Linked DNA regions of Arabidopsis thaliana. The protein of the gene in region 2 interacts with the protein of the main gene of each other region in a pairwise test. Each region holds a gene or a part of one and is shown on either strand. Other genes may lie near its edges. The genes, in order: GATA4, AT5G18450 and BEL10.

What was found.
Region 1: the proteins of AT5G18450 (region 2) and GATA4 interact in a two-hybrid assay, tested with the Arabidopsis thaliana proteins (one large-scale study listed by BioGRID).
Region 3: the proteins of AT5G18450 (region 2) and BEL10 interact in a two-hybrid assay, tested with the Arabidopsis thaliana proteins (one large-scale study listed by BioGRID).

What each region holds. Positions count from the first base shown.
Region 1 is NC_003074.8:22,371,154-22,375,070, reverse strand, and holds GATA4 (GATA transcription factor 4), read right to left. Parts: upstream 2,059-3,917; 5' UTR 1,724-2,058; coding exon 1,514-1,723; intron 1,437-1,513; coding exon 924-1,436; 3' UTR 517-923; downstream 1-516. UniProt on the Arabidopsis thaliana protein: Transcriptional activator that specifically binds 5'-GATA-3' or 5'-GAT-3' motifs within gene promoters. May be involved in the regulation of some light-responsive genes.
Region 2 is NC_003076.8:6,115,486-6,118,793, forward strand, and holds AT5G18450 (Integrase-type DNA-binding superfamily protein), read right to left. Parts: upstream 1,557-3,308; 5' UTR 1,536-1,556; coding exon 612-1,535; 3' UTR 539-611; downstream 1-538. Other genes in the region: NUFIP (GATA zinc finger protein), read left to right, coding at 1-263. UniProt on the Arabidopsis thaliana protein: Transcriptional activator that binds specifically to the DNA sequence 5'-[AG]CCGAC-3'.
Region 3 is NC_003070.9:6,809,224-6,814,768, forward strand, and holds BEL10 (BEL1-like homeodomain 10), read right to left. Parts: upstream 3,841-5,545; 5' UTR 3,620-3,840; intron 3,535-3,619; exon of another isoform or gene 2,981-3,534; intron 2,772-2,980; exon of another isoform or gene 2,705-2,771; 5' UTR 2,632-2,704; coding exon 1,888-2,631; intron 1,800-1,887; coding exon 1,414-1,799; intron 1,309-1,413; coding exon 1,248-1,308; intron 1,161-1,247; coding exon 735-1,160; 3' UTR 542-734; downstream 1-541. Other genes in the region: AT1G19690 (NAD(P)-binding Rossmann-fold superfamily protein), read right to left, coding at 1-27, 113-339.

The DNA.
Region 1 (3,917 bases), on a different chromosome or scaffold from region 2:
TAGTAGTTTCATTCATGTTTTGAGTTTTGTTGTTGTTTTCTTGAGTAGTCTCAATTGACCTCAACATTTTTGCAGTTTCTTGATATTTGAATTTTTGTCTTTCTTTATACATATATTTGATCCTCTTTTTTCTTGGCTTGGTTTAGTTGATAGTTTAAGCGGAAAATTAACCAAATTAGATTAGTTTTGTATGGTATTTCTGGTTCGATATCTTAATGTTAAGACCTTGCTTTGGTTTCTATTAGGATTCGGTCTGTCGGGGTTCTGGATTTGAATAACGGTGACACTATACACCACATTATGGTTCAATTTTCAGATCATTTGTTTGTTCTGTTTCGGTGTTACCGCCTAACCAGTTTAGTTTATTTATAAGAGGTTTAAGCACTTTGTATAAGAGTATTGGTAATTTTTGGTTCAGATGGAATAAAGCGAAAAATTGTTAGATTTGAATAGCCTAAACCAGAGAGAGTTAGGTTTGGTATGGCTTAGGTTACTATTTTTTAAGAAAGTAGTAAACTGAATTGCCTCGTGAAATGCCAAAAACTCAAATTCTCAAGCATGTAACATGTATGATGTATGTATGAAGATTAACCAGCATTGTCATGTGTGATATAACATCATAAGTCACAAAAAGCAGAGTCCATGGTGGTTGAGAAGCTTTTATATCTGAAAAGAGGAAAATTAAATGCCGCCAATGAAATCATTTAATGATATAACTTTAAGGAGAGCCGTGAGACCAATAAACAAAAGCAAGAAAAAAATCAATAGAAATTACCAACAAATTAATTAGCAGAGATTTGCAAACTTTAAACTAATACTGATAATTAAGTCCTTAACCCCTCCCGTCGGTCACGTGATCATCACCGTTAAGATTACGACACGTCACCAAATCACAAAAACCCTTGAAAAGAAAACCCCCAAATTTACTGCGGCTGAAACGGCGGAATTCGAACGCAAGATTCTTGTTGTTCCTTCTGTCGCCGGAGCTCCATAACTTTCCGATGAGAGTTCGAATGCTGAGTCAATACAAACGTCGGACTCGACGCCGGTCTGTATTCCGGTACAAGCCTCCCTGATTTGTAACGAACTCCACAAGCGTTACAAAGTGTTTTAGGTCCAAGCGGTCCAGTTCTCCACTGTGGCGTTTTCTCCGAGGCACAGTGCGTGCACCGCCTCGCTCCATCCGCCGTAACCGATTCAGCGTTGTAGACTTTCTTCGGTTTAGGTTTAGCGACGGAGTGACAAAGCTCTGATTCAGACATCGGAGCCCAAGTTCCAGCTACGGAAGGTGCTGGTGCTCTTGATCGGCGACTTCTAGGTTTTCCGGTGAATGAAATCTCGGGTCTAACGGTCATGGTTAAAGGATTTGCTGGGAAATCGGAGAATGAATCGTCAACGAATCGCGATAACCATTCGAGATGAGCTGCGTCGTCACTCTGCAAAACTCAAAATCAGAACTTAGAAATTCAAAATCAAAATCAAAATTAGGGTAAATTGAAATTTGAAAACGTACGGGAACGCAGAGATCGTGAGTGAAGTCGGTGAGGAGAGTAGGAGAAGTGTAGGTGGAAGAAGGAAAGCTGAAAGGGTTTTCGGAAGAAGCGGCGGAGGAAGCGGCGGAGGAAGTGACGGTGGAAGAGGAAGAGAAGATTTCGTCGTTGGAGAAATCGAGAAGGTCGTCGATACGAAGCAAGTCCGGTGAAGACATGCCGTAGACGTCCATTGTTGACTCGGACTCGCTTACTGAGTATGTATGTGGTCACTGGTTCAGAGGTTTAATATAGAGAGAGAGAATTAGTGTAAGTGAGGAAAGAGACGAAGATGAGAACGTGCATAGAGTTAGCATGCACCGAGACTGACCTGACCACTCCCTTTTTTTCTATTTATTTATCCACTTTAATATATTTGTCTACATTTTTCTTTGAACATGCATGTGCTATTTAATTTACTTACCAGAGGATTAATTAACCATGAATTACATAATGCATATACTAGTCTTTTTTTAAAAACGCATATATTATAGATCGAGCTTATATTCTAAACAAGCATTTTGAAAACATTTCTTTCAAAACAGACACTCTAAACAGTAAAAGCATATAATACTTCAATTTTTATTGTTACGGACATTTTTGCCCTTAAACTATGAACTGGAGTTGAGAATGAGGTGAAAAGAATGTGTTTATCTTCTAAAAATTGTATCCCCATCTCTGATTCAATTTTAAGTTTCTTTTGACATCCAAAGATATATGGCTTAGATAGTGGACTTGCAGCTTCGACGGTAGGCATGAAGCTTTGACGATAGCACAAAGATTTGGTGGTGGTTCACGGCTTTGACAACGAGGGGTAACGAACGGCGTCAATGGTAAACGCTATACCCTAGAATTAGACTTGTAAACCCAAACCGTCAAATATAGAGTATGCAATTCTTACATACACACAATAACACAACACTACAACCATCCTCATTATCATCAAACACCATTAACATGAACAAAAATCAATGTACTTGTAGACATGATTATGAACATCAATTGAGCAATCAACAAAGTATCAATCACTTCTTGAATTCCTTAACCTGCACAAAAATCACTGAACAAAAAAACGTGCAAATCGTAATACTAAATCGTGGGACTTTTTTGTTTCTTGTTTTTTTTTTCCAGATCTCAAAATGTGGGATGTTAAAAATCTAGATCGCATTCACATCTCATGAGGACCGATTGTTAGTCGTCTGAATTTCCAATCGTCGCTGACATCACTCTGTAATCAATGACTCCAAAGTTGTTGGTGTTGGTCGCAAGTATTTTTGATTTCTAGTGTAAAACGTAAAAGTTCATCAACAAAGAAAGAACAACATCATCTCTCTGTAAGGGTAAAAACGACTTTCCCCAGGAAAGAAGTGCCTAAATCTAAAGATCATTTCAAAAGTGCCTAAAATAAAATATATATCTAAGACAAATGCCTTATTTGCAATAAACTCATTATAGATCATAGTCTATAGTTTTATTAATTTAAACAAGTAATGAAGGGGAAATTAAATAAATGCAAGGTTACTAATTTTATTTTTTTCAATAAGCCTCTCTCCCTTTTGTTAATTAAATTCTTCTGCCATCTCCTAAAAAGGTTTTCCGATTTTTTTTCTTAATTTTGTTGAAATTTGTGAGTTGGATCATTTAGTATCCCGTTGAGTTTTTTTTTTTTTTTATGTTTTCTTGTTCAAAGAAAATAAAATAATATTCTCCGGAATGTGTAATCAATCATAGAGTTGAATTTCAACATGACCAAAACAAGGAAATAGAGAACAAAATTGGCTCAACAATTTATTAATACAAAGTGATGCGAATGTATAACTATCTTGTTTCTTGTGCTTACATGAATATTTCGCATTTTGCAATCACACTTACAGAAAAAGAAAGAGACACAGAAGTGGGACTAGCTTCGATCGTTGTAGAATAGAGTGTACACAAGTATCTAATATCATTCTTCAGTAACCTAGCATGTCTTTCACAGGTTTGATTAATAACTAATGTGATAACGTTTAGAAATATCCTTACTACCAGAAGTAACGAAAATTTAGTTTTGATAAAGAGTTGTTTTGACATATTATTTTAAACATTGAAGAGATAACTATAAAAATGTAGTGGGGAATGGGAAAATGGATGGAGACAATGAAGGAGATGAGTCGACCGACGATCCGAAGTGCATTGCACTTTGGTTCTATAAATTCCTATGGCCCTCTTTTTAGGTTTATATATACATATTTTTTCCCTATCATTTATCTTCTTATGTCTCTTTCATGCATTGCTCCTTCATTAATTTATTCAGTTTTTCAACTATACAGAAACTACTCATATATGTACAAACACGCACGGCACATGCATATGATATAAAGAATGGGGAACCAATTGTTGCGAACATTG
Region 2 (3,308 bases):
GAAAACCTACATTGCTTGAGAAGCTCCTAAGCGCAGACATAAAGAGAGACAAAAGCCAGTTATTACAGGTCTTCCGCTTCATGGTAATGAATTCATTGTTGAAGGAGTTTCCAGAGCAACCTCTGAAGTTACCTTTGATTACAGTAAAAGAAACTGGCTGTGAAGATGCTATGGAAGATCCCTCAATTGAAGGTTTATGTGATGGCCTTAGTGATGGCGATGATGTGGATGGCGATGATAGCTCATGTGATGAAGATGTTTGATGTTTAAATTTGTAAGACCGGACACATGAGCAGTATAAGGATTTGTGATATTAATCTATATGTGTTTTCGTTTTGAAGATATGTCCGCAGGAAACAGTAAGATAAATAATCTGATACAAGGAACATGAGAGTAAAAATAGTGTCACATTCGAAACTTGCTTCATCTCTATTAATTTGTTTTTACAAAACGTGTAAGAAAATTCACATTATGCCCAAACCTATTTACACACATAAGCACTACATGCAAGGAGAAAACAAAAAATCCCACGATTGATGTATAACAAATAAACAATCCTAAGTCAAATATAAGAAATATGTATGATAAATAATAGTAATAAATAAAAACTCTCAGAACCAATTCCATGGATGTTGAAACTCTTCACAACACCAATTCTTGAAATCTCCATTTTTGCCAATCAACAAACCTAAATCATCAATCTCCAAAAGATCATCCATTTCCAAATATCCTGTTCGCTCTTCCAACTCCGGCCTATGCATCCTCTCTCCGCCGCAACTAGGAACCAACATACTCTCCTTGTTGTCCGACGATCCACACGACGATGACACGTCATGTTCCGTCTTCTTTTCTTGCCCCACAAGAAACCTAGACCAAGCTCCATTGTATAATCCATAATTCTGACTCATCAAATTCTTTGGTTTCAAATTGGTCGAAAACGTTAACGTAGAGCCACCACCGCCTTCACCGCCATAACTAGTCGTAGCATTAACGGTCTCTTGATCTTGTGAATCACTTTGTTTAGGTAATAACCAACAAAGATTCGAACCACTTGAAGACGAACATCGATTATGACTATGATCATCATCTTCTTGTAGAAAACTCGATCTCTCTGAGCAAGAACCTCGTGAACAACTTGCCTGGCCGAGACCAAGGTCCAACCCATGAACCATATCGAGCTTCTTATTATAAGCCCAAGAACCCGACCCGTGGCCAGAAAAAGACAAGTTTCTGTTCACTACTACTTGTTGTTGTTGTTGTGGGTGCACCAAGTTGAGTTTAGCCTCGTGTCCATAGAGTTTCTTAGCGGCTTCATCGTAAGCCATGGCGGCCTCGACCGAGGTATTAAACGTGCCGAGCCAGAGACGAGTCCCACGGTTAGGCTCACGGATCTCAGCCACCCATTTACCCCAAGTCCGTTGCCTAACTCCACGGAAAGTACACGTGGCGTTCTCTGGACCGCCTTTACCTTTCATGCAACCTTTTCTAGATCTCCCCATGTTTCGTTTCTTGGCCGGAGGTTGCTCTTCTTCCATGGTGTTTCTTTGAGAGTCTCAAATTAAATCTGGTTTAGTGAATGAAAAATTGAAGTGTGCGTGTGTATATATATACAGGACACGTCAGGAGTATACGTATTCTTACGTGGCAAATGTAAATATGAGTGTGTACGTGTGTTCTGTGTGTATACACTAAGGTAAAGGATCTCTCGTTTTGTTTATTTGATTTAATGTCTGTGTTACACGAAAGTGACCCCCGACCACTGTCTTGATGATGACTCACGTGTTTGTGTTTCTCTCTAAGCCCCTCTCCTTAAAAAGTGAAAATTAAGGAGATACTATGTTATATATCCAATGTATTTTTTGATTTTTTTGTTTATTTAAAACATATAGAGTAGAAACTTTATAAATTAATAATGTTGGGACCAATAAAATTTTATTAATTTATAGTAATATTAATTTATCTTATAAATTAATATTTATAATTTATTATATAAATATTAAATATTAATTTATAGAAATATTTACGTAAAATACAATACTATAATTTTTAAAAAATGTCTGTTAATTTAATTTTCTATATGATTTGTTGTTTGCATATATTATTATGTCAGATTTTTATTTTTCCTTGACTTCTTTTATTTATTTTTCGGTAAGATATTGTATCTGTATATCTACGATATTAACGTGAACGTAAACACAAACATGAAACTTAATCCAATTTCTCTTTACACAAATCTTACCAATGCTTTCTCAAATAAAAGATTTTACAAAATCAATTATGACGAATCAAATATGCAAATAGTTATGTGAGTAAAACATAAATCATACGAGTTGTATTTTAAAAAGAGTTGTAATTATAATTTGAACAAAAATTTCATATAAAAATTAGTCTTAAAATATATTCTTAAGATCTATAATTATTAATTTATAATATTATTGAGACTATAATTTTACATAGAAATTTCAAAAAAAAATATTATCTTATTATCTTATCGATTTTGGTTAATTTTTACATTGGTCCGACTTGGGACTAACAAAATTTATTAATTTATCGTGTTTATTAATTTATCAATTATTAATTTATAGAGATTGTACGGTAATTCCCTAATATATAAATACACATGCATAATTAAAAAAATTATAATTTTAAAAGATATAAAATAAACTAATATATGTGGAAGATTTTCAGAACGGTAATAAAAATTCATAAACTTTTCATCATTAATTTTTCCTAATGCAAAATATAAAAATGGATAATCTGACACAAAAAATTTATATTCTACTGTTTCATGATATGTAAATAATATCTTTTAAAATTAGTTTTTGTGAGTTTTTAAACAAAAACTGATTAAAAAAAGATTAATATATTTAGTGAATGTTAGATTTAACAATAATTAATTGATTTATTATTTTCTCTTTTTTTTTTTTTTTTTTGAAACATCCGAAAACTGTTTTTCTTAACAAATTTACAACACAAACCTGAATAAAACCACACTCCAAATAGCTCGAGTCATATCCATATGTAATACTTACAGATTTTGTATACGATTCTTAGGTTTTCGTTTTCGAGGTTTTACTTAGATTATAAGTTTCACCGTTTAGTTTTTGGATAGGAGTAATAATATAAGATAAACAACAAAATAAATGCGAAGTATATAAGTCTACGTACATGCGAAAATGGAATATGTCATGTTCATATGCCAGGTGTCAAGATCGAGGGTGGCCTGGCAAACGACTCGGAACACATGGCTCTACCATTGATTAGGTGCTTCGGCACGAAGTATCTGTTTTTACACCACTACTTATTAA
Region 3 (5,545 bases), on a different chromosome or scaffold from region 2:
TCACTCCTGCAAGTCCCTGAAACCACCCTAAACCTCCAAAATTGTTAACACCATCGGAGAAAGATGAAAATAGATAGATATAGAGATAAGGAGAGAAACTGAGATATCAGACCAGTCTGATTCTTTGAGCTGTTGCGCAAAAAAACCTCCGACGAATCCCATCCCGAGAATGAACATTTGGTTCGGCGATTCTGGATCTGGTGCACCGGATCGAGAATCGTCGGTTGCTGATAATGGCCGGAAAAAGTTGATTCTCCTACGATTTGAAAATTTAAGTGGTGTGGGAGTAAAACGGAAAGGAATCTCCGGTGACAAACTTGGTAACTGAAAAACCGCCATTGAAATCGGAGGACTGAGAGACTCCAAGGTCTGTTGTACTTTAACTGATTCACAGTACAAAGAAACTACGTGCCGTTTTGTTTTCAAAATCAAGGACTGCATTTCGTTTTTACAGTCCAGTGATATATACTATAAAGAATCGTGAAACATTTACCACAAAAGTCTCAAGTTCAGATTTTTTCACACTTGCAAGTATCCTTTATACCACCGTGAATATTATTATACACACATATCAATATTTGGCTTAAGAGTCTACTATACACAAAAGCAACCTACACATCTACTATATAATCCATAGAGAATGGGTGTATTATGCCTAATACTATAAAAATGCAAAAGCACATTTCTTGCGCTTCAAGAATCATCTCCTCTGTACCAAGAAGAACCAGATAATATCACACAACAAAGTCGTGTAAGTGATGGGAATTGGAGAATCTGCTTTCTTGCTGGTTGCTTCCGCTAATGTAACGGTAATCATCAACACCAAACCCGTGATAGTTCATCAGAGTGTCGTAATCCGATGAGCGGTTTATCTGTTGTTGCTGTGGGTCGTTATCATTGCCTAGAACACGATCTGGTTTGGTTTCTGATGAGAAGACAATGTTTGTTGTGTCTGCAGATGAATAAGCGAGGTTGCTGTTGTTGTTGTTCTCTTGCTGCTGCTGCTGCTGCGATGAGGAGTCTTCTTGGTTTGTGCTGTTGGGTTCTTGGGAAGATTTGGAGATTAGTAACTCAGATTCATCACCAAACTCTTCTTTATACATTTCTTCGATCATCGGTTTCCACAGACGAACTCTCGCGTTTATGAACCAATTAGCAACCTAATCATTTAGCAGAGAAACCAGAATTATTCAAGCAGAACACAAAGGGTGCAAATTTTAAGTGAAGACCAAAAGCTTGGTTTATACCTGGTTCTTTGACAATCCTGTCTGCTTTGCAAGCATGATTTTCTCAGATTCTTTCGGATATCTACAAATAAAAAAAACAGAAGAAAAACATAGAGTCTCTCTAAATGTTTTGTACTGGGAGATTGAAAGATTGTGACTTGTGACTTGTGAGAGAAGAAACACTTACGGATGAAGGAAATGTTCAAAGAGCCAAGCGCGAAGAACAGAGACAGAGTTTTCAGGAAGACCTCTTTGAGGTCTCCAAGCAGGTCGAACCATTCCAAGCTGTTGATGCAAAGCTCTTTGCTGTCTCAACCGTTGATCTAAATACCTCAACCTTGGTATCCTCTCTCCTTGTTGCTCATCCAACGACTCTCCTCCTTTCTCCCCAAGTTTTTCTCTAACAATCTGAATTTGTTCCTTTATTGCGTCGCGAAGAGCACGAAAATGGCGAGAGATTCTGTTGAGAGCAACTGATGTGTAAGGCTTAGCTGATCCAAGTCCTGCTACTATCTCAAATGATGAAGCTAATGCTTCCATTTGATGGTAATATTGGTTATATCTTTTATCTACCTGCAACCATTAACACATCCACAACAACCAAATCACCATCAATCCTGTTATAAACCAAAGGTAGTTTTATGAAATGTAAGTTAGTTACCTCATCAACCATTGTTAAAAGCTTGTTCTTCTTGTTCTGAAGCTCTTCACGTTCAATTGTAGATAACTCAATCGATTTCCCATTCGAATCACTCGATAACTCACCACCTCCTCCTTCTATCTCCTTAGAACCACTGTTAAAGTCATTAACTTTCATCTTCTTCTTCCCCATTTGGTTTAGTTCTTTCTTGACACTAACCACTTCATCAAGCAAATTCTGAGCAGGTTTAAGATACCGAGAACGCAGAACGCTGCTCATAAACCCTCCTGATGTCTCATTATACCGATAATTGTTGTAGAAGCCATTCCCACCATTACCAGCATAACCAGAGGAAGGATCAGATTGACCCAACAAGATCATTTCTTTGCTCTTCACACTCATCTCATCCACATGAAACGGTGACGTTTCCTTGACTGAAATTGAAGGATTCTGACTAGTAAACCCCAATTGGTATTGATGAAAGTGAAACGGAGCAACAGAGATCTGAGTACCAAGGCTCAAAGACAGTCCTTGACCATCGTGAAAGCTTAGATCGCTGCTTGAAACGGTACCGTTTCCTGTTACAACGTCTCCTGTGGTGGTTGGTGGGATAAAAACCATCTCGTTTCGAACAGTATCGCCGCCGGTGACGGTGAAAGAAGCGGCGGCGGATGAAGAAGAAGCTTGTTGGTTTTGTTGTTGATGGTTGAGAAAGATTGGTTCTTGCTGGTAACAACCGACATTACTTGTGTAATAAACTGCCATTGGTGTTTACACCTTTTAAAAGTTTTATTACAGTGAGTTCTTAGTTCGATGAGTTTGGTCGGGAAATGAGATCCTGCAAAAAAATAAGAGGAAGAAGAGTCGTGTAAGGTGTGGAATTTTAAAAATTTCTGATGGAATCTAAGAGAGGTTAAAACATCGTAATCATTTCACACCAAACCATTTTTTTTATATATCATACATAAACAGTTTCGAAAGCAACAAACAGAATCGGACCAAATTATTCGGAGGATTAAAGTCAAATTCTTGATAAAAAGCAAATGTTTTTCGTGAAGAACTGAAGAAACCCAGAAAAACCCAATACAGGAATTGTGTAATCGTAGAGGAATACCCGATCTATGGAGGTGAAATTGAGAGGAGAAAAAAACCCTAATTTGAGGTTGGAAAAAAAAATGCAGAGTAAAAAGAAATTGTGTAGCTCAACGTAGTGAGTCAAAAGCAGAGAAGATTCAATTATTACATAAAGAAGTAAAGTGTCTTGATGATTTCATCTCTTGTAGGAGAATTTCCAAAAAGCAAGGGAGAAAAAAAACACAGAAAGTATACAAAAAATAATAATCAAGAAACACAGTACAAGATTAATCATATCAAGAATCAAGAATCAAGAACTTGAATTTTTAAAAACTACCTGAGGGAGAGAATCAAAGTTAAAAGGAAGAAAAAAAACCTAGAGATTGTGTTTGTGAGTGTGGATGTGGCTGAATCAGGAAACACAAAAGCAGAAGAGTTTCGAACAGTTGAAGACAAAAAAAGATTTGAGACCCAATCCCGAGAGAGATAGAGAAAGAGGCGATTAATAATTGCAAAATTCTTAAATAAACAAATTTTTTTCAGTCCACAAGAACAATAAAACCAACCCAACTTATCATTGGGACATTAGACACCAACCCAATTTTTAAAAATATTATTATGCAATATCAACAATAAAATAAAATAATGATCACTACCGGAAAAATTTGACAACCGCTACCTGTAATTTTTAATTTTTTGCGGCAGAAGCTTCTGTTTCTGATGCTTAGAGTAAAGATAAATTAATATGATTTTTTTTGTGTGCCAACCATTCATAGAGAAACACGTGAGAGCTTACAAATCACCAATTTTCTTTTCTTGATTACGTGATAATATTTCTTATGACGACTTTAACATACAAAACTTAACAATTCCACACACACAAATAAATGGATTTTTATAGATGATTGTATTATACTTTAATGATGTTGTGTTGTCATTGACTTGAGACTCATACTACTTTTCCGTATAAGTTAACTAAATACAACCAAAAGAAAAAAGTTGAAGGAATGAGTGTTTATATATGAAAAGTTTAGTATTTGTATATTAAAAAAAAAAACCAAATCTAACTATTTAAACGAAATAATCTATAATGCGTACATTACCATGGTATCGTGGGAAACTTTTAACGACTTCCTGATTTGTGTACGTGAGGCTCCAAAATAGTGAAATTATTACCTGCCACAAATTATAGAGTCTAGATTTGGATTTCAAACTAAAATGTTTTTTTAAACTATTTGTTCTTATCACCTTGCTTTCATCATAAAGTTAAAGTTCGATACATTTTTAATAGAACTTCTTGAGCACTTTGTAGTTCAATATCTTTGAGGTTTTCTTTAAATGTTTGATATAACGGATATACTTTTAGTTATGCATGGTAGCGGAAATTAAACTCCATCAAATAAAACATAGAAACGTCATTATAGGTAGGAATATGAGATTACAAAACTGACCCTGATAAGCTGGTTTAAGGAAGAAGATAAAACAAAGGTGGGTGTGTGTCTGCTCAATTGCTTAATTGATGGATTAAATGACTTAACAACCAGTTGGTGAGTCCCTCCTTACTCTTCTGTTATACCCAATTTTTATTCTAAGTTCTCTTGTCTTTTTATTTCTTTTGTTATAAACCTTTTAGTTATACACTTACATGTTTGTATTTGCATATTCCACAATGAAGAATACGTAAAAGATTATCTTTATAGCTACACTAATAATATAATCCATTTCCTCTGATTTTTAAAATAACAAGTAGTTTCGTTTTGGTTTGTTGGAGATTGGATTTAGAGCAGCCGACACAAAATCATTTGGCAAGTACCATTGTGTTGGAAAATTATTATTCATGTGTTTTGAGTCTTTGAGAGATGATGATATTGACTTTTGTTTCCACGTGGATCTTGATTTATAATGATGATTAAAAATAAATTAATTAGGCAGTTAGCTGGTGAGAGATTGATTAAATCTACTAAAAATTTAGATTATTAATGATGTAATTATTTTTAAAACCGTATGGTTCTGTAAATCATATTTTAAAGTTGAGGATGAATCGATGATGCTAAACGAGGAAAATGTGTGTGAGTAAGAAATGAACAACCTTTGGTTTGGAGGAAAATGTTGAAGTATAATAATTCTTGCCAATTGTCAAATATATTAATTACATGGATATATCCGAAAAAAAACTTTATAATAAATAGCCACAAGTTATGGCCGTGTAACAAAAAGTAAAAGAATTTATTGCCACATACATTGTTGGACCATATATGAAGACGGATCATCACCACTAAAATTCATGTTTGTAACATTTATATTCTATGGATCGAAATCATTATGCTCTCCATTATTAGAACCAAACAAAACCAAACCAAAATTGTATCAGCAAAACTAATCTGAAGCCTAGCTTAGCTTAAGAAAAAAAAAGAATTAAAACCATATAGTATGCATTAACTATCATCATAACTAGTTTAGTTTTAGGCTTTTAGCAAATAGGCCTTTTAAAGCCCATTATAAATATGAAGAGAGGATTCCATCGGGGGCCTGCTGAGAAACGGCAATCAACTTCCTTCTAAATAACAAAAACGGCGTGAATTGCAAACTTCTGCAAAGAGTCAAC